4 linked regions of the Schizosaccharomyces pombe genome follow. The gene in region 1 interacts genetically with each later gene. Each region holds a gene or a part of one and is shown in the gene's direction. Other genes may lie near its edges.

Region 1 (4,572 bases):
AGTATATTTACGCGTCGATATCTGATTTCGTGGTCGCCTATACAAATGCAGCAAAGACACGAAAAAGAACAGAGGAAACTGAAAATTGGGCAAGCTGGTTATAAAATTAGTAACAAATATTAGGGGAAATTGTTTGTTTTTCGCATTGTGGTGGAGTAAAAACCGACAATCAACTTGGCCAACTAAATAAACTTGATCACTAGGTTTGAAAAAACATTTAATACCTTTACCGCATCTCCAATTCTTTTTCTTTACATGATTTTCCGTTTCATGGAGAGTTGGTCTTCTTCGTGGTGGAAAAGTACCTATTAAAATACCCATCCAAAAGTATACTATGTAAACAACTGTTTAGGTAACATGTACCTTAGCATTGGAAAAGGCAAAGCGAAAGAAGGAAATAAAGTGGAAGAATGCCAGTGTTTAGAGATGATGAAATAAAAGAGTTTACAGCTCTCGTTTTATCGACATTGACATGGTATTTTTGTATGGAAATGAGATGGTAAAAATACTCGTGTTGTTTGCTATATCCTACTTAGCAGTTCATTCTCTTTTCTTCTCTTCTCTGAAAAGCTATAACATAAATACTTCATCATTTTTTATTTTATTTGCAAAATACTTTTATTGGTTTTTCTCTCGATGTGCTATTTCCATGGAAATCACTTGGTCTTTTGCTTGTAAACAATAAATGAAACGTTGCGATTTACTAATTACAATTAAGTACTACGTTAACATAGTTTTCTTCTATATTATTATATTTATATCGTGTATCACTTTATACGTGTATATAGTTATATTATTTGACTTAGATAAAACAGCCGCATCTTCTTTGCCAGCTATCTAATCTCGTGCCGATGTAAATAAAACATCAATTTTCGTCTCGGGCAACATCACCATGGTCAACTTCAATATTTCGTGTACGGCAGGTAAATTTTCATGGGCGTCTGCACCCTACGAGGCAATTTCCAGCCCAACGGAAGCGTGTAGGATGAATGGGAGCTAATTCGTTAAGACAGTGCCATACCTGGATTCATTCAGGCTAAGGGTCTGATATTGAATGTGTAGATCCACAGAATGTGGGTCTCTTCAGCACTAATAAACAAGAGAATCGTGCTTTTCTGCGCAGATAATTACTCGTTTATCCATCTCTGTTTACACTCTCGCTATGTCACACGCCGATACCAAACGTCGTTGGAAAACGGAAAGCTTGATGTTTTTTACAAATCATTACTTAAACAAAGTGAAACTTACATAAATTCTTCGAACTTTCTTCTGTATACGTAAGGTGGAACAATGTTTAATTGTGATTTTCCATAGTTCCCCGGTATATGTCTAGCGTCGGCCTGCTACTATCTAGGCAGTTTTCCGAAATTAACATTTGTCCGCTCTGTAAATAAAATAAAGTATTCCGCTATATGCTTTAACATGTATGTTCTACACTTTAAAAATTTTCGTTATTAGATCATTATCGATCTTCAACCACCGAAAGCTTTATTCTCATACAACAAAACCTATGAAATAGTACACAATTATTTAATAAGGTATTTAATTTTTCTATGCGTAATAATGTTTAACAGAAATTATGTTCCACTACGACAACGGGAGCATACGGAATGATGAGGAACCCAAGACAATGCTAAAACCACCTTCTTATACGTTGTATCTCATAAAAGTATTATAGCGTTTTGCATTACGTCAATCACTAAACAATCATCATTCCATTTTTTTGGCTGCTTCGGTTCCGTAACGAATTGCACTAAGTGCTTTTGTTTTCCCAGCTCATCTTAGTTATCCTTTACCAACATTTTCTTTGTCCTATTTTTTAGGCCATTAACGTGTCCTCTCTCCGTTTGCTGGTCGCCTATCTTTTGCTTTGTGTGTTCCTAGCTTTTTCATTTTCTCATTTTTCATTTTAATTAATCATGAAGGCCTGGCTACAATCTAGGTAAGTACAACTGGACATTTGGATTCGATCGCTGCCGAGTGCTTTTTTCTTCGTTTCAGCGAGGATTTGTAATTCAAACGCAAAAGAATGGATTTATACAGTGATTTACAATGTGTATGTTCAATTTTTGGTACTCTTTGGCTTGATTAGAGGTTGTAAAAATATGGACCCCTAAAAACGGATCGAGTGTTTGTCCTATGAATAAAAACGGTAATATAATCGACTAATAATTGGATATCGATATGTATTCACTGACATTTCCTTCATGTTTTCGATTATTTTTTTTGTCTTAAAAATTTTTTTTTAAATTCGATGAGCAAAAAACAAAATTCTTTTTTCTTTTCCGTTTTTTTCATCTATCAGACATCTGCTATTTGAATCCATTTTTTTCGTGTTGTCTTACAAAACATTCAGTTGTCTATTCTAATAACTTGTTTTTACTGTTTTTTATTATTTCTAACTCGATTTTAGCATATCCTACTATACTGGCACAGCGGAACCCGTTTATGGTCCTGAGGCTATCCAACCCGTCACTGCATCCGTTCAGGGCATTAATCCTTTCCATAGGCTTGAAGCCGACGACTTCAAATGGAGCACTCCCTCTTCCAGCCATGTGGAAACGCAAGTCTTTTATATCAAGCCAAATGAGGGTGACTATATGTGCTTTGTTCAATTGATACATTCCAACTTGGGTTCTTGGACAACCACCGCTCAATCTACGTGTCGCATTTTCGATTTGAAGCATCCTGAAAACGATTTGTGGACTTCTACCAACATGGATCAATTTAGCTTTGAAAATGACAAAACCTCCTTTGTCGCCAAAAATTGCTCTGTCGTGTTGGAAGACCAAAAGCGTTACCGAATTCGTGCCTCCATCAACATGGACTCCATCATCGATATAACTGTCCATCAAGACGCTCCTCCTTTTAAAATCGGTGAAGATGGAAATTCTACTTATGGAACAGATCCTAGTAAGCCCTGGGCTTCCATGAAGCATACCTTTTGGCCTCGCACTCGTGTTGAAGGTAGCATCGTTGCAAGGGGTAGAGTTGTGGATGTCACTGGTCCCGGCATGTTTGTTCATGCACTCCAAAATGGCAAACCCCACCATCTTGCTTCATCTTGGGAGTTTGCCCTCTTGCAGCATAAAAAGTTTACCGCCATCATGATGCAGTTCAAGACACCCCCTAGCTATGGTTCTACTATTGTCAATATTGGTGGTATCGCTATGAAAGACAAAATTATTAGTGCAACTGTCGATAATACTATTGAGCACGTTGAGACCACACTCGATCCCGATACGGAATGGCATGAACCCACTCGCATTTCCTACGAATGGGACGGAAAGGATGCTGAAACATACACCGAAGATATTCATCTTTCAGTCGATGCTCCTTTGGGAAGACGTCTTCAACGCATCGACGTTCTTGCCGAGATACCATCTTGGCTTAAGGGTTTCGTCCATGGAGTCTCTGGAACGAAACCTTTCATCTACCAATATTTCTCACCTGTCAAATTTACACTGAAGATGGGTGACGAGGTTATTGAAGATGAAGCCACGCTTTTTAATGAGACTACTTTTATTTCATAAGCATCTTTTAACAAAAATATTCAAGCATAAATAATTCGATGCATTTTGGGCTTAAACAAAGAGTGAACGTGCATCCATCTTTTTTTCAGAGCTTTTCTATATTAAACTCTCTGGTTTTGTATTCTTTTTTTCCTTTTTTTTGTCCTGTTGTTTTTAATTTCGTGTCTTCGAATTTTTTTTTCATACTATTTTTCGTTTTATTAAAATAACTTCATATAGACTTATCACTTATACTCTGAACTTGATAGTTGTGCTGCTCTCATATTGAATATGATTCTTGTTAATGGTCTTGTGCTACAAGCTCTGAAATTCATTCGTTCTCTTGTTTGTGTACTAAATCGATCTTGTCATCCTAATACCTATACTGATGGACATGGGCAAGGCATCTGGCAAAATTGTGCATTCGCTTATGTTTATTGAAAGACTGCAGTCTGTGTAAACGAGCGAGAATGTTTTAAAATTTTTTAAAAATTTGAATACTTTTCATTTTAGAGACTTCAAATAATATTGTTTTCATCATTAAGTGGATACTAATTAGCAACTTCTCAACTTCTATTTTATTTAAAAAACTAATTCATTGTAAATGTTGTATTGGTTTTCTACGAAAGCAGTTTTTCTATTATTGATAATTTCGCTTTTACCACTTTATAATAAAAAAGTATTGTATGTTTAATGTTTTCTAATATTTTTTTAATAAGTTTTCCTATGTTCCGATAAGAGCAGGCAGTGAACGCGTAAACAGATATATATGTATGTATTTATTATTAAAATATTATGTAAATAATTCTTAAAAAACCGAATCATTCTAGCATAAAGCATTGGAAACCAGTAATTCAACGTAACTGAATTTCACGGATTTACAAGCAAGTCGTACAGTCCTTTCTTCATTCAATAATATTGATTTAATAATAATATGTATATGCAATTTTCCTTTTTTTTTTTTTTTTTTTTTTAAACATTTTAAAATAAAGCATAGGCGTTTAATCATTTTTTATTAAAGTGCGTAACTTATGTTGTAAAAAACTACCACCTACTTTTC
Region 2 (3,428 bases), on another chromosome or scaffold:
TTGTTCTTTTCTTGATATTCTTATACTAATATTAATGTTTCTCTTGTTTTTTTTTACCCAAGCTGTCCCTAAGTACAAGTACTTTACGAATCAGTTTGTCAACAACCCTGTTAATTTTTTTAAGTATTTTACAGTATTCACACAAGATTACGAATTTTTGAAATAAAACGATAGCTTATTCTAGACATGCAAAAATATATCTTTTTTGGTTGGTTACTTGTAAATTATCAATTGTGAATAATTAATGCATCTTTATTGTAAAGCTGATTCCATCCATGAAATCCATTCTTCAATGTTCGACATTTTTGCAACGCTGCCAGGAAGGAATTTAAGATCAGTATCTTCAATCTGATCTGCAACTGATTCCCAATCGACATCTTCAGAGACTATAGATTCGAGTTGAAGATTTTTCTCTTCCAAAATATTGTGCAGTTCAGCTTTTAACAATTGTTGAATTTTTTCCGCAGGTTGAGCAGTAAAAAGATCAAATTTATTACAGGCAATTAATAGATGAGGGACATGATGCTTGCGACATTTTAAAATTGTGTCAAACAACATCAATCCAACCTCGTGCACATCCCTGTCAATTGTAGCACTGTTGAGAACGAAAACTACAGCTTTTACATTATAATTTCCAGAGAATTTAGTAGTAATCCAACGTTTGGCCCTGGGATGCCCTGGAAGATCTACTAACCAAGCACCATATTTCCACACAGCTTCATTAGGTTCAATGCTAGGAACTGTAGTTTTCTTTTCTTTATAAATTAGCTATATAACAGTTAATAAGTATTCAAAGATTGTATATTATTGTTATACCTCACAAAACAAAGACGTTTTTCCAGAATCGCTAGGTCCAATTAAAAACACTGCTGGTAACTTCTTTTGAATTGTCTTTCTAGTAAAAAAAATTCCTAGGGTAGATATAATAGCTCCTATAATTATTGTAGCTACAATAATTTTAAAAGCTTGAGAAGTTCCATCCATATGCTGTTGTTGGTACCAGTTGGGTGTGTAGAAGATATATGTCAAATGTTACAAAGACCTCATTTTCATACGATCGTTGATTAAGATATATTTTTCAGAAGAGAGAAATAAATGTGAAAAAAAAAAAAAAAAAAAAAAGCATCCAAACTAGTTCTCGAAGTTTTGTTTAAAAAAGACAATTCTCGTACAGATTGCAGCAGTAGAGATTGACTGTACCCTCTTTTGAATTTAATTAAAACAATACAAAATACATTTTTCCTGAATGTATTACATGAGATAATTGCTTGATTAGACCAATCTTTGTTAATCGTCAAAGTATACATTTATATCATCGGTTCTTTTGAGTGGAATTAATTGTTGTGGGGCATCTTTAAGTTGTGAATTTGTGTAATTAGACTTATTGAATATTTTTGCTTCATTGTTTGCTCAACATTATTTATTATAGAAAAGTTCTTTTTGTTAAGTGATGACAATGATATAAATAATGAACTTCACGATTTTTTATTTTAAAATAATAAAACTATAGAATATTTTACATTTTGAAAGATAAGATTGCGTTGTTGTAATACTACTTCAATCCAAGTTATACTGAAGTTGCTGTCTTTCAGTCGAAGAGCTACTTTTATATCTACCTTTTTTACATTGCAGACTTGCCATCCCCCAACCGTAGATTTTGCTGGTTATATTAATTCCTTTTTTAAAGAGTCGTCTAACTCTCGTTATTAAATTGTGATACGAAGATGCCTCTTCCAGTACTTCGAGTTAAGCGTAAAGCTTCAGAAGATCCTGTTAACGCCCTATGTACGACCAAGCTTCTAAGTAAACTTTCTTTATCTAACTCCTTAATAATTTAGATTTGGAACTTGGAAACAATCCAAATTCTGTTTCAAGTACGAAAAGAAGGAAATTCGCCGGACGATATTGTATGCTACTTCTTGAGCTTTTGTGTTGGAATATTACACAAGGACTAATCATTTGAAAAACACAATTACCTTTTATTGACAGTTTCTAGATTTTAAACTATCACAAACGCTGAAGCAAGATGATCGGTATATTCAGATAAATGATGAATCTTCGGAACCCACTCATGAAGACGTTCGAAATATCCACAGTCATACAAAAATATCATCTCTAAAAAAGAACAATTACGGAATCCCTGTCGTCCAAACTTCTGAAGACGTTGTGAAAGCACCTACGCACATGGACTTGGGATCCCGTGAAAATACAAAAGGTATTCTTTCTTTCTCATCCCCACGCTATACAATTCAGAATTTACCTTCTACTCAAAGTAATAGAGTGTTCGACGCTATCCGTGTCGAACAAGGGTATGTCAACATCAAATAGAGTCAATTACTTAGTTCTGTTGTTATAAGAACTGGCTCTTGGCTTTTTTTACCTTAACTAACATTCATAGACATACTACGTATCATCCGCATCCTCAGCTAGATTCTATGATTCAAGAATATTTGTCAAATGGAGACCTTCCTCTTCAGCAATCTACGGAAGACTACGTATACGATATTTATGAAGCATCTAGCAAAGAACCAAACAAGCCAACGTTTGCTTATGGTGTAATTGATGCTTTGTCCATCCCAGACGCTTTTCGTTCTTCATTAGAACAGGAACTAGTCTCCGAGACAGTGGACTCTGATAAAGATGATCCATTACATGATGAAATTGATGAGGATTCAAACGCTGAAAGCTTCTATCAAAATAGCTATCCCGATGAAGACGAATGGCAAGATAGCAGTGAAAATGATGAATTTGCTTACTCCGATGATGCTGAGCAAGACTTTTATGATTAGATGTTTGCTACTTAAAAAAACGAACAAAATGGAAATCGGTTACAGTTTAATAGGTGAATGATATTATTTGGAGAAATTTATATCAGGAATTTAGTAAATTGTTCTATTGTATTTTTTAAAAACTCATACATTATATTGTGTCTGGGTAATATGTGTAAATTTTAATAGCATTACTATTTAGTTATATCATAGGATTCAATATGAGCCATGTTATTCATGAGTTTGGAGTCCACAATTTTGTGACTTGCAAAATCCTAGCACCAAGTTCTTGAATTTGTAGCCAGATTTAGCTACATCATAGACAATATGTCGACTAAAGAAGCAACTTCAGAGACTGCTGTCGATTATTCTTTGAGTAATCCTGAAACCGTCAATAAATATAAAATTGCAGGCGAAGTTTCTCAAAATGTTATTAAAAAAGTGGTAGAATTATGCCAACCTGGAGCCAAAATATACGATATTTGCGTTCGTGGTGATGAACTATTGAACGAAGCTATCAAGAAAGTATATCGTACCAAGGATGCTTATAAAGGTATTGCTTTCCCTACCGCTGTATCTCCTAATGATATGGCTGCTCATTTATCTCCTTTAAAAAGTGATCCCGAAGCCAATCTCGCTTTGAAATCGGGTGATGTTGTA
Region 3 (4,772 bases), on another chromosome or scaffold:
ATTTCATTGATGCGAAGCGCTCTTATAAATTCTTGCAATTTTACGCTTTTTGAATTATTTCGGGAAACTAAAGTATTAAGCAAATAGTTTTATTCTAGTTTTACGAAGTCTTTGTTGTCCATTGAGTCGATAACCCGTCGGAATGCATTTCTATACATATTTTAACTTGCATTCGACTTGCGGTTGAAGTTTAATCACATTTTAGAACTGGTTTTGTCGTATATATTTAAAGTCCCATGGAATACTTTTACAATTTTTTTGATGCTATTTATTTTTTATTAAAAGCATTTTTACCTTCAAAAACTCCCCTCTCATCACTTTTCATATCATGTGCTGCTGTTAGTTTGACAGTAATTCCACTGAACTTGTTATACATTTCACGAGTTAACCGTTTCAATCTGAAAGTATATTTTCTTTTCCTCTTTTCCCTGTTTTTTTTTGTTTTGTTTTGCTTTTTACGTCCTGTTTTGGTTAATCCAACTCTTTCAATATCTGTATGTACCTACGCTTTTTTTTCTTGTATAGTTGAATTTTGTTTTGTAGATTTTTGGTAGAGGTGTAAATTGGATGAAATTTTTGAGACTAATAGTCCTTCTATTTCAGCGATTGTTTATTTGGGCATTTAAAACTTTAGCTATTAGATTTAGTATGTTTAATGTACTTTCGGACAATGCTGGCTTTCTTACTCAATACATGCTACCTAAGTGAGTTACCACTACCATCCACATATATTGTGAAGGAAGAACAATGTCTCGAATTTTGGTACGTTATACATTGCTTTTTTTAAGAATTTAGGAGCTAATATATAGAAATCACTAAGTCGTAGTTATTCGACCACCTCCCCTCGTCTTTACGGTATGAAATGACATTTTGATTTTGATGAGATTACTAATGGCAATTTAGTCGATGTAGTACAGGGTTTATATATTTCTTCTTTAAGTATGTTATTATATTCTCTTAATTTACCAATTTCTTACACGTCGTGTCTTAGAATCATATAAGCCTAAAGCTGTCCCTTCCGAAACGGCAGCTGAAGTAAAGGAATGGTCCATGCCTAGCGCTCCTACTGCTCCAAAATACGATGTTGACTTTACTTCTGCTTTAAACTCTTACAAGTATGAGGGAGAAACCATTCCCACTAAGGCTGCTGGAGAAAGCAACAAATTTGACTTTCTTGAATCAGTATGTATCTCTTCCTTTACATTGCATCAGCTAACTTTTCCTTCAGTATGAGAATGAAAAAGAACATTAAATTTATTCACTGCTTTTCCTATGCTCAATTGGAAGATGTTTGGTAATTAACTTTGATTAAATTTTGCCTTTTATTTTCCGATTATGAATTTACATTTTCATCTACGTCGTTGAGATTTGATTTTATATCTATTTCATGCCTTTGTCTGATCCTTCTTTTGATTGACCACGAACGTGGATGTATCTCTATAACTCCCGTCTCACTATGATTTATATTCTAGGTTAACGTATCCTTTTTCTGCTTTCTAAATGTCTTTGAACATAGCTGAATTCAATGCTTAGTCGTCTCTTCGATTACGGCACGAAACAGTTGTTGCCTTGATTGATAGAAAACCACTTTCATTGAGTTGAGATGTTTTTCTCTTTGCAAAGTATTTCTATTGAGTTCACATTTGGATTTTTTTTTTCAATTTATATCAACTCAATACAATTGCTTTTATTCAACAATAAGGATTAGCTTGATAAAATTTGATGTCTACTGTGGGTCATTAAAAATATCAGTAAAGTTCACAGTAGTTTTCTTGGAATTGTAATTTTTTTTCTTAAAAAAATATATAATTCACTATTATAAGGTATTTAGTATATTTTCATGCCTAGTCTCATCGTTTTGCCGATTGAGGCTTCATATATAGCAGTAGTATAACTTGCTTAGTACTATCCACCTCACATCCAACATGGAGCAAGTCATTCAGAATAATTGCTCTGAAGTAGACCCTCATGTCCTCAGCTACTGCACTGGATATGCTAATGATGCTATTAAAGATGTAGATGAGGCTTCAGACCATACGATCTCTCTCATTCGTAATTTATTGCTAGATGCTGGCGCTCGTGAGGAAGCGGTACAGCTCATACAAAACGAACTAGAGAAACAATTTAAAGAAAGAGAGGAACATCTAGATACATTACAAACGAATGGACTTGTTCGTTTGAAGGAGACTATTCGAATGGATTCCCAATCCGAAATTTCGTCAACTATGGGTTTGGTTGGCGAAAAGATGGAATTAGATGCTGTAAAGGGCCGTAAGGTTGAATCTAGGGTAGATAGAAGAAAATTAGAGAAGGCTGAACGGAAGATTCGTGCCAAATGGGAGAAACGTACTATCAAAGCAGAATACGAATCTTCAAAGTTGGTTCAACCCGAACAAAAGTCTTATGAAGAGTTTTACATGGCTGTAAATCCTCTAGATTTATCCGGAAGTAACCAAGGAAAATCGAAAGATATTAAAATTGATGGAATTGATCTTGCTTTTGCTGGTCATCGTATATTGACTGGTGCTTCGTTGACACTTGCACAGGGTAGACGATACGGTTTAACTGGTCGCAACGGTATCGGTAAATCTACTCTTCTACGTGCTCTTTCTCGCCGTGAAATTGCGATTCCTACCCATATTACCATTCTTCATGTTGAGCAAGAAATGACAGGTGATGATACACCTGCCCTACAGTCAGTTTTGGATGCCGATGTTTGGCGCAAGTATTTGATTCAGGACCAGGAAAAGATAACTAATCGTCTATCAACGATTGAAAAAGAATTGGAAGAACTTAGTAAAGACCAAACTGCTGATCAAGCTATTTCCCGTCGCCTTGAGCGTGAACGAGACGAACTTGATTTACGGTTGTTAGATATTCAAAATAAGCTTTCCGAGATGGACTCTGATAGAGCAGAATCACGCGCTGCTACTATTTTAGCTGGTCTTGGATTTACTCAAGAAATGCAAAGCCATGCTACCAAGACTTTTTCAGGTGGTTGGCGTATGCGTTTGTCATTGGCACGTGCTCTGTTTTGTCAACCAGATTTACTACTTTTGGATGAACCTTCGAACATGCTTGACGTTCCCTCAATTGCTTTCTTATCTGAATATTTACAAACTTATAAAAATATCGTTTTAGTCGTTTCACACGATCGTTCTTTCTTGAATGAAGTTGCTACTGATATTATTCATCAACACTCTGAGCGCTTGGATTACTATAAGGGTAATTTTAGTCAATTCTATGCTACTCGTGAAGAACGTTGCAAAAATCAACTTCGTGAATATGAAAAGCAAATGGAATACCGCAAACATTTGCAATCATTCATTGACAAATTTCGTTATAATGCTGCCAAATCATCCGAAGCACAAAGTCGTATTAAGAAGTTGGAAAAACTGCCGATCCTTGAAAAGCCTCAAACTGAGGAAGAAGTTGAGTTTGAATTTCCACCTGTGGAAAAAATATCTCCTCCTATCTTACAAATGTCTGATGTCAATTTTGAGTATGTTCCAGGTCACCCTATTCTCAAACATGTTGATATTGATGTTCAAATGGATTCTCGTATCGGTGTGGTTGGTCCCAACGGTGCTGGTAAATCAACAATGCTTAAGCTTCTTATCGAACAACTTCATCCAACATCTGGTATAGTTAGTCGGCACCCCCGACTTCGTATTGCATACTTTGCACAACATCATGTCGATACTTTGGACTTAAACTTGAATGCCTTAAGCTTTTTAGCTAAGACATTTCCTGGCAAAGGTGAAGAAGAATACCGTCGTCATCTTGGCGCTTTTGGTGTTAGTGGACCTCTTGCATTGCAAAAAATGATCACGCTTTCTGGTGGTCAGAAATCTCGTGTTGCGTTCGCATGCCTAGGTCTACAAAACCCTCACATTCTTATTCTAGATGAACCCACCAACCATCTGGATATGGAGTCCATGGATGCCTTGACAAGAGCTGTTAAACGCTTCCAAGGTGGTGTGATTCTTGTTTCTCACGATGTTGATTTCTTGGACAAGACATGTACCAGTATTTGGCAGTGTGACCATAATGTCGTCTCCAAGTTTGATGGAACAATTTCACAATATAAGAAATTCTGTCTATCTCAACAGCCAACCATGACTATAAAAACTTAATGGAATAGCATAGACTTAAATAATAATAATATAGCTGGCGAGGATAAATAAAATCAAATTCTTTTATCTATGAATCTGGATAAAATATGTAAACGAAGTTAACTACATTTTATACAGTAAAAGACATGAAGTGTTAAATAAGATTAAAACAGTAAATTAATTATAGCTAAGTAAGTCATAACACGGTAATGGACAAGAAACCTGGAAAGCATGCAAATCATCAACCAACACCCAAAAAATAAAGAGAACAAACCCAATCAATTAAAAAGTAAAGAGGAGGAAGGGGAGAAGAGGAGAAAATAAGGCGGACCAAGGAAATCAATAGCAGAAAAAAAAAGAATATACAGACTAGTAAACAAAAAAAGAAAGAGAAAGGAAAAAGTTAACTCATTAAATTCGTTTAGGAACTTGACTAGAAAACCTCGAAGGATTTGGAAAAAAGGACATGGGAAAAGACGTAGGGCGAGAGATTGATGGAGAGGAGGAAGATGAAGGTTGAGTTTTGACGGCGTTGAACGATTTAAAATTCTGAGAGGTGAAAGACTTTGGAGGAAGAGGAATGGACGGATAGGTATTAGAGGTTAAAGGACGCTTTGTAGAAGTATTAGTAGCGTTAGAAGAAGAACGTCCAAGGGG
Region 4 (4,315 bases), 1.2 Mb from region 1:
TATTTTTGTCCGTTTACAAAAATAAAGAAGTAAAGCAGTGTAACTAAAGGGGAAAACATTGAGTTTTATGGTAAAAGATCCTATGTTCCATTAAACATCGAAAAAGGTTTGTTGGCTTTGAATTTGAATGAAGTTACATGCAGTTAAGTTAGCGAAACGATCGATTGGAAATTCCTAAACAATCGGTATGGTATGGGATGGGACTAAATAATTGGAGGAACTTGCTATAAGGTAATTAATAATATAAAGAAGCCGATAATATACAGTATGGTAATAGAAACAAAGCAATGAATCTTGCTCAGTCATTACTAGTTTGCTCTCTAGGGTTAAATTAGTTGGATCAGTAATTTTCAATCGAAACAAAAATATTTAAATAAATACGAATTATGCTTTACTTAGATTTATTATTGTTTTATTTTTATTTATTGCTCTTTTCATCTTTTTTAGAAGTTTTATTGTCTTTCATGTTTGGAATAGAATTTTTTCCCATTAAGCGGCAGTACTAAAAAAAAATTATTTCGATGTCTTTTAAAACCTGAATGATACTATTATATCTCTTTAAACTACTTTTATTTCTAGCACTTGCCATGTTGTTTTGTAATATTGGCTTTACCAGCCATTTGACTTTTTCTTTGTTTACACTAACATCACCGCACCAAAGCGTCAAGAATTTACTGCAGAATTTTACCAAAGAATGTAGAAACTAATTTTCTTTGGAAATTCGGGATTGCATCGATGCACAAGTCACTGACTTCTATAAATACAATTGTTTAGCAAGCTCCCTTTTTTTATTTTCAATAACAGGTAACACGTTTGGCAGGTAACAAGGAGACAATTAATCCATCACTCCAGAAACATATTAGCATTCCCCCCCGATTTAAACCTGGCCTTAACTTACCACCAATTTTTTTTTGCTTAAGGCAATTGGTTTTGTGTTTGTTAACATTCTAATTGTAAGACCTTGACGAAAAACTGGTTTTAAAGGATTTTTTACTGAGCTAATTTATTCGTTTATACGGGCTTTGTTCATTTCGCTTTTGGTAATCTCACTTTTTTTTGGTTTCCAGAGGCATTTTTAAATTTCAATACTTTTTCTTGAGTTTTTGATTTTTGCTTTCTTTTTAGTTTTGCGTTGACAAGTACTGAATTGTAATCTTTATCGTGGATTTAATTAGATTCAAGTGATTTTTAACACCTACATTGCCAAGTAGTATTAAAGTATTCATTTCATTGGTTTGGACTAGTTATATACTTCAAACTGGTGTTTACTTCCTTCTTTCGCTTCTTTTTCTTTCTAAACTTTGCTATATTTTGCCTTCGTTCGTTAGGTTACTATTTATTTACAAATTGAACCTTTTCATATAGGTTCTCTACAGGGATTTTCTTACCATTACTTATTGTAACAGATTTCTTAGTTGAGAGAATATTTTCACTTGGGGGGGTTTTTTTTCTTTTTAATTCACCACACGTATCTAGGTTTTCTACATTCTCTTGGATACAATCTCTTTTATTGCACAGAATCTTCTTTGATTTTCGTCTAATATTCCTACTGTCGGTTCTTTTACCCTTCCTGTTTCTACTTTTTAAAAGCTCTCATATATCACTCATCACCATCCTTTCTCTAATTTTATCTTTCGTTCACTGCTTAATTTTGCATTTCTAAGGAAATTCTCCGTTCCTTTATCATTTTATTTTATTTTGTCTCTTCTATATTATTAGTTTACTCTTGATTATTTGACAATGCGGTTCGCTCCTTATTTAATTAGTGCTGTTGTAATTACAACCATAATCCTGGGTGGAGCTTGGTGGACTTCAGCTATGGATACCAAGCTTCAAACGAAGATGAAGGAGATCATCGACCAACACACGAGTACTTGGACCCCAGTCGTTTCCTCCGTAACCAGTACCCAAACTGATACTTTACGTGTTACCATTAGTGAAGTTGTTAGTGTTACTGCCACTTTAACCGAAACTTTCACTGCTACTCCAACTGTCACTTCTGTAGTTCATGCTTTAGCTACCACTGATCCTCATCCGGATAACTCTAAAATCGTCATTTTGATGGGCTCTAACTTTCAAAATGATGCTAACTCTCCTCTCCATCCTTTCGCTCAGTCCATTATCAAAAATCGTCGTGAATATGCTGAACGCCATGGTTACAAATTCGAATTCTTAGATGCCGATGCCTATGCTTCTCGTGTTACAGGTCATTTAATGCCCTGGGTTAAGGTCCCTATGCTTCAAGATACGATGAAGAAATATCCTGACGCTGAATGGATTTGGTGGCTTGATCATGACGCGTTGGTCATGAACAAAGATCTTAACGTCGTCGACCATGTGCTTAAGCACGACCGATTGAATACCATTTTAACTAGGGAGGCTGAATATAAGAGTGGTGCAGGTATCCCCGCCGATGGATTTAGAACTCCAAAGGATCAGGATGCTAAGGATGTTCATTTCATCATCTCTCAAGATTTTAATGGTATTAACGCTGGCAGTCTTTTTATTCGTAATAGCGAAGTTGGCCGCTGGATTGTTGATTTGTGGTTTGAACCCTTATATTTGGATCATATTCAGGGATATGCTGAGCAACAAGCGTTTTCTCACATGGTATTTTACCATCCCCAGGTGTATAAACATGTAGGTGTTGTCCCACTTAAGGCTATAAACGCATATGATTTTGATGATAATATTTGGGGCTATGACGACGGGGACTTGTGTATCCATTTTGCTGGATGTAACTATTTTAAGAATTGTCCCGAGAAGTTCCTTAAGTATGCTCAAATTTTATCTTCTAAACAAGGATCCGATTGGATGTCTGCTCAAGAAAAGGATCATATTCAAAATCTTTTGAAACCATCATCCTAGTTTTTTTCAGTCACGCATGGAAAAATACCTTGTACTTTAGACTGGTTTAATTTCATGATATTTGTCATTTTACTCAAGAACAACGTCTGTCCAGTATGTTGGTAGTTTTCTCAATTTTTTATTATCGGGGATAAGCAAACTCCTTCTTTCATTACTAATCAAGTCATTTAATTATCCTCCCCTCCTTAGTGAACACCTTAATAGTTTCTCCCTTTTCATGATTTCATGAGCTTAGTATCATTACGTTCAGGACCTTCTAATTTCGTGTTGGAGGATTTTAGTGTTGTCTAATCTATTTCCTTTTCTAAAGTCAAGTTTTGTATCGTACTTTAAGTACAAAGTTCGAGTTTTGCTGTTACGCTTCAAACCGTTTTATTTAATTTTTAAACCCCAGCCTTTCTTGGAGTAAAATGTTAGTAGATGACAAACTTGTTAGGGGTTTGAATGAATTTTCATACGCAGAATGCTGCTTTCTTTAAAATCGGGATGATTTGAAATGTTATTTGAAATGTTGAGTTTTTTGTAGCCTACATTACGATTGTACGGCTTATAGGACAGTGAAGCTATTAAATACTTGATCTAATATGACCGATTACAAGAAAGTCCTTGATAATTTTTCTGCACTTCTTTTGAAGTTGGCAACTTTATGTACAGTATGATGCTCTATCTTTCTAAATAAAGTTATGTCAGGAGTCTTATGGAAATAAAATTTGCAATTCGTCGTAATGAAATCCATTTGAGTGATAATGGCTTTTGAAATTAAAGCATATATTTTTTTTATGCAAAAACAATGAATGAAATATTTGTAAACTGACCAAATCTATAAACCACTGCTTGAAAATTAAACGATTCGAATTTTACTCCTTTGTTCATTGTATCCAAGAACGGCACAACCCCTATATTTGGGTACTATCATTTTTTTACTTTCAAATGGGACGCAATTAAGACCGATTGATTGAATTCTATTAAATTATTATTATATATTAATTTTAAAAATAGTTAGCTTCGTTGTTCTAATTTAAATTATCATTGTTTGATTACAAAAAGTGAAGTGTGTTATTTAAGAAATCAATGTTCCCTCATCGAGTCTCTCATTTATCGAAACTATTTTCGAGAAGGTTTCCCAATTGGAAAAGAAAAGTCCAAACAGATTCTTGGTCCAATGTCCCAGAGCATATTCACTCAAAAATTGGTCGAAACCTTTTTCAAAAAGAAGGTCATCCCATATGCAGTCTACGACAACTTCTCGAACAGCAATTTCAAAAATTCGAAATGAATAATGTTCAAAAAGAATCACCTATTGTTTCTGTAGAGACGAATTTTGATTCTTTAGGATTTCCCAAGACACATGTAAGTAGAAGCAAATCCGATACTTACTATATGAACAATAAAACTTGTCTTCGAACCCATACCTCGGCTCATCAACCTGAAGAGTTCTCTCGCTTGG

Evidence for each region.
Region 2: mutations in svf1 (region 1) and iwr1 together harm fitness less than expected from each alone (positive genetic interaction), as found in Schizosaccharomyces pombe (one large-scale study listed by BioGRID).
Region 3: mutations in svf1 (region 1) and gcn20 together harm fitness more than expected from each alone (negative genetic interaction), as found in Schizosaccharomyces pombe (one large-scale study listed by BioGRID).
Region 4: mutations in svf1 (region 1) and gma12 together harm fitness more than expected from each alone (negative genetic interaction), as found in Schizosaccharomyces pombe (one large-scale study listed by BioGRID).

The regions. Positions count from the first base shown.
Region 1 is NC_003421.2:1,510,544-1,515,115, reverse strand, and holds svf1 (ER to Golgi ceramide transport protein, lipocalin superfamily Svf1), read left to right. Parts: upstream 1-1,794; 5' UTR 1,795-1,919; coding exon 1,920-1,942; exon of another isoform or gene 1,943-2,175; intron 2,176-2,413; coding exon 2,414-3,533; 3' UTR 3,534-4,072; downstream 4,073-4,572. Other genes in the region: protein mug42, read right to left, coding at 1-321. UniProt on the Schizosaccharomyces pombe protein: Ceramide-binding protein that may transfer ceramides from the endoplasmic reticulum membrane to the cis-Golgi network membrane, and is thereby required for the biosynthesis of complex sphingolipids.
Region 2 is NC_003424.3:1,592,751-1,596,178, reverse strand, and holds iwr1 (RNA polymerase II nuclear import protein Iwr1), read left to right. Parts: upstream 1-1,639; 5' UTR 1,640-1,724; coding exon 1,725-1,785; intron 1,786-1,838; coding exon 1,839-1,907; intron 1,908-1,996; coding exon 1,997-2,309; intron 2,310-2,398; coding exon 2,399-2,789; 3' UTR 2,790-2,877; downstream 2,878-3,428. Other genes in the region: signal recognition particle receptor beta subunit Srp102, read right to left, coding at 253-768, 817-984; peptidase family curved DNA-binding protein Cdb4, read left to right, coding at 3,096-3,428. UniProt on the Schizosaccharomyces pombe protein: Directs RNA polymerase II nuclear import.
Region 3 is NC_003423.3:2,053,578-2,058,349, reverse strand, and holds gcn20 (AAA family ATPase Gcn20), read left to right. Parts: upstream 1-1,907; 5' UTR 1,908-1,925; coding exon 1,926-4,136; 3' UTR 4,137-4,209; downstream 4,210-4,772. Other genes in the region: ort1 (carboxylic acid transporter), read left to right, coding at 1-87; atp14 (F1-ATPase subunit H), read left to right, coding at 748-762, 810-855, 904-939, 992-1,182, 1,229-1,252.
Region 4 is NC_003421.2:315,278-319,592, reverse strand, and holds gma12 (Golgi alpha-1,2-galactosyltransferase Gma12), read left to right. Parts: upstream 1-1,740; coding exon 1,741-2,868; 3' UTR 2,869-3,766; downstream 3,767-4,315. Other genes in the region: msf1 (phenylalanyl-tRNA synthetase), read left to right, coding at 3,940-4,315. UniProt on the Schizosaccharomyces pombe protein: Involved in the O- and N-linked oligosaccharide modification of proteins transported through the Golgi stack. This occurs in cis Golgi where the enzyme transfers galactose from UDP-galactose to a variety of mannose based acceptors.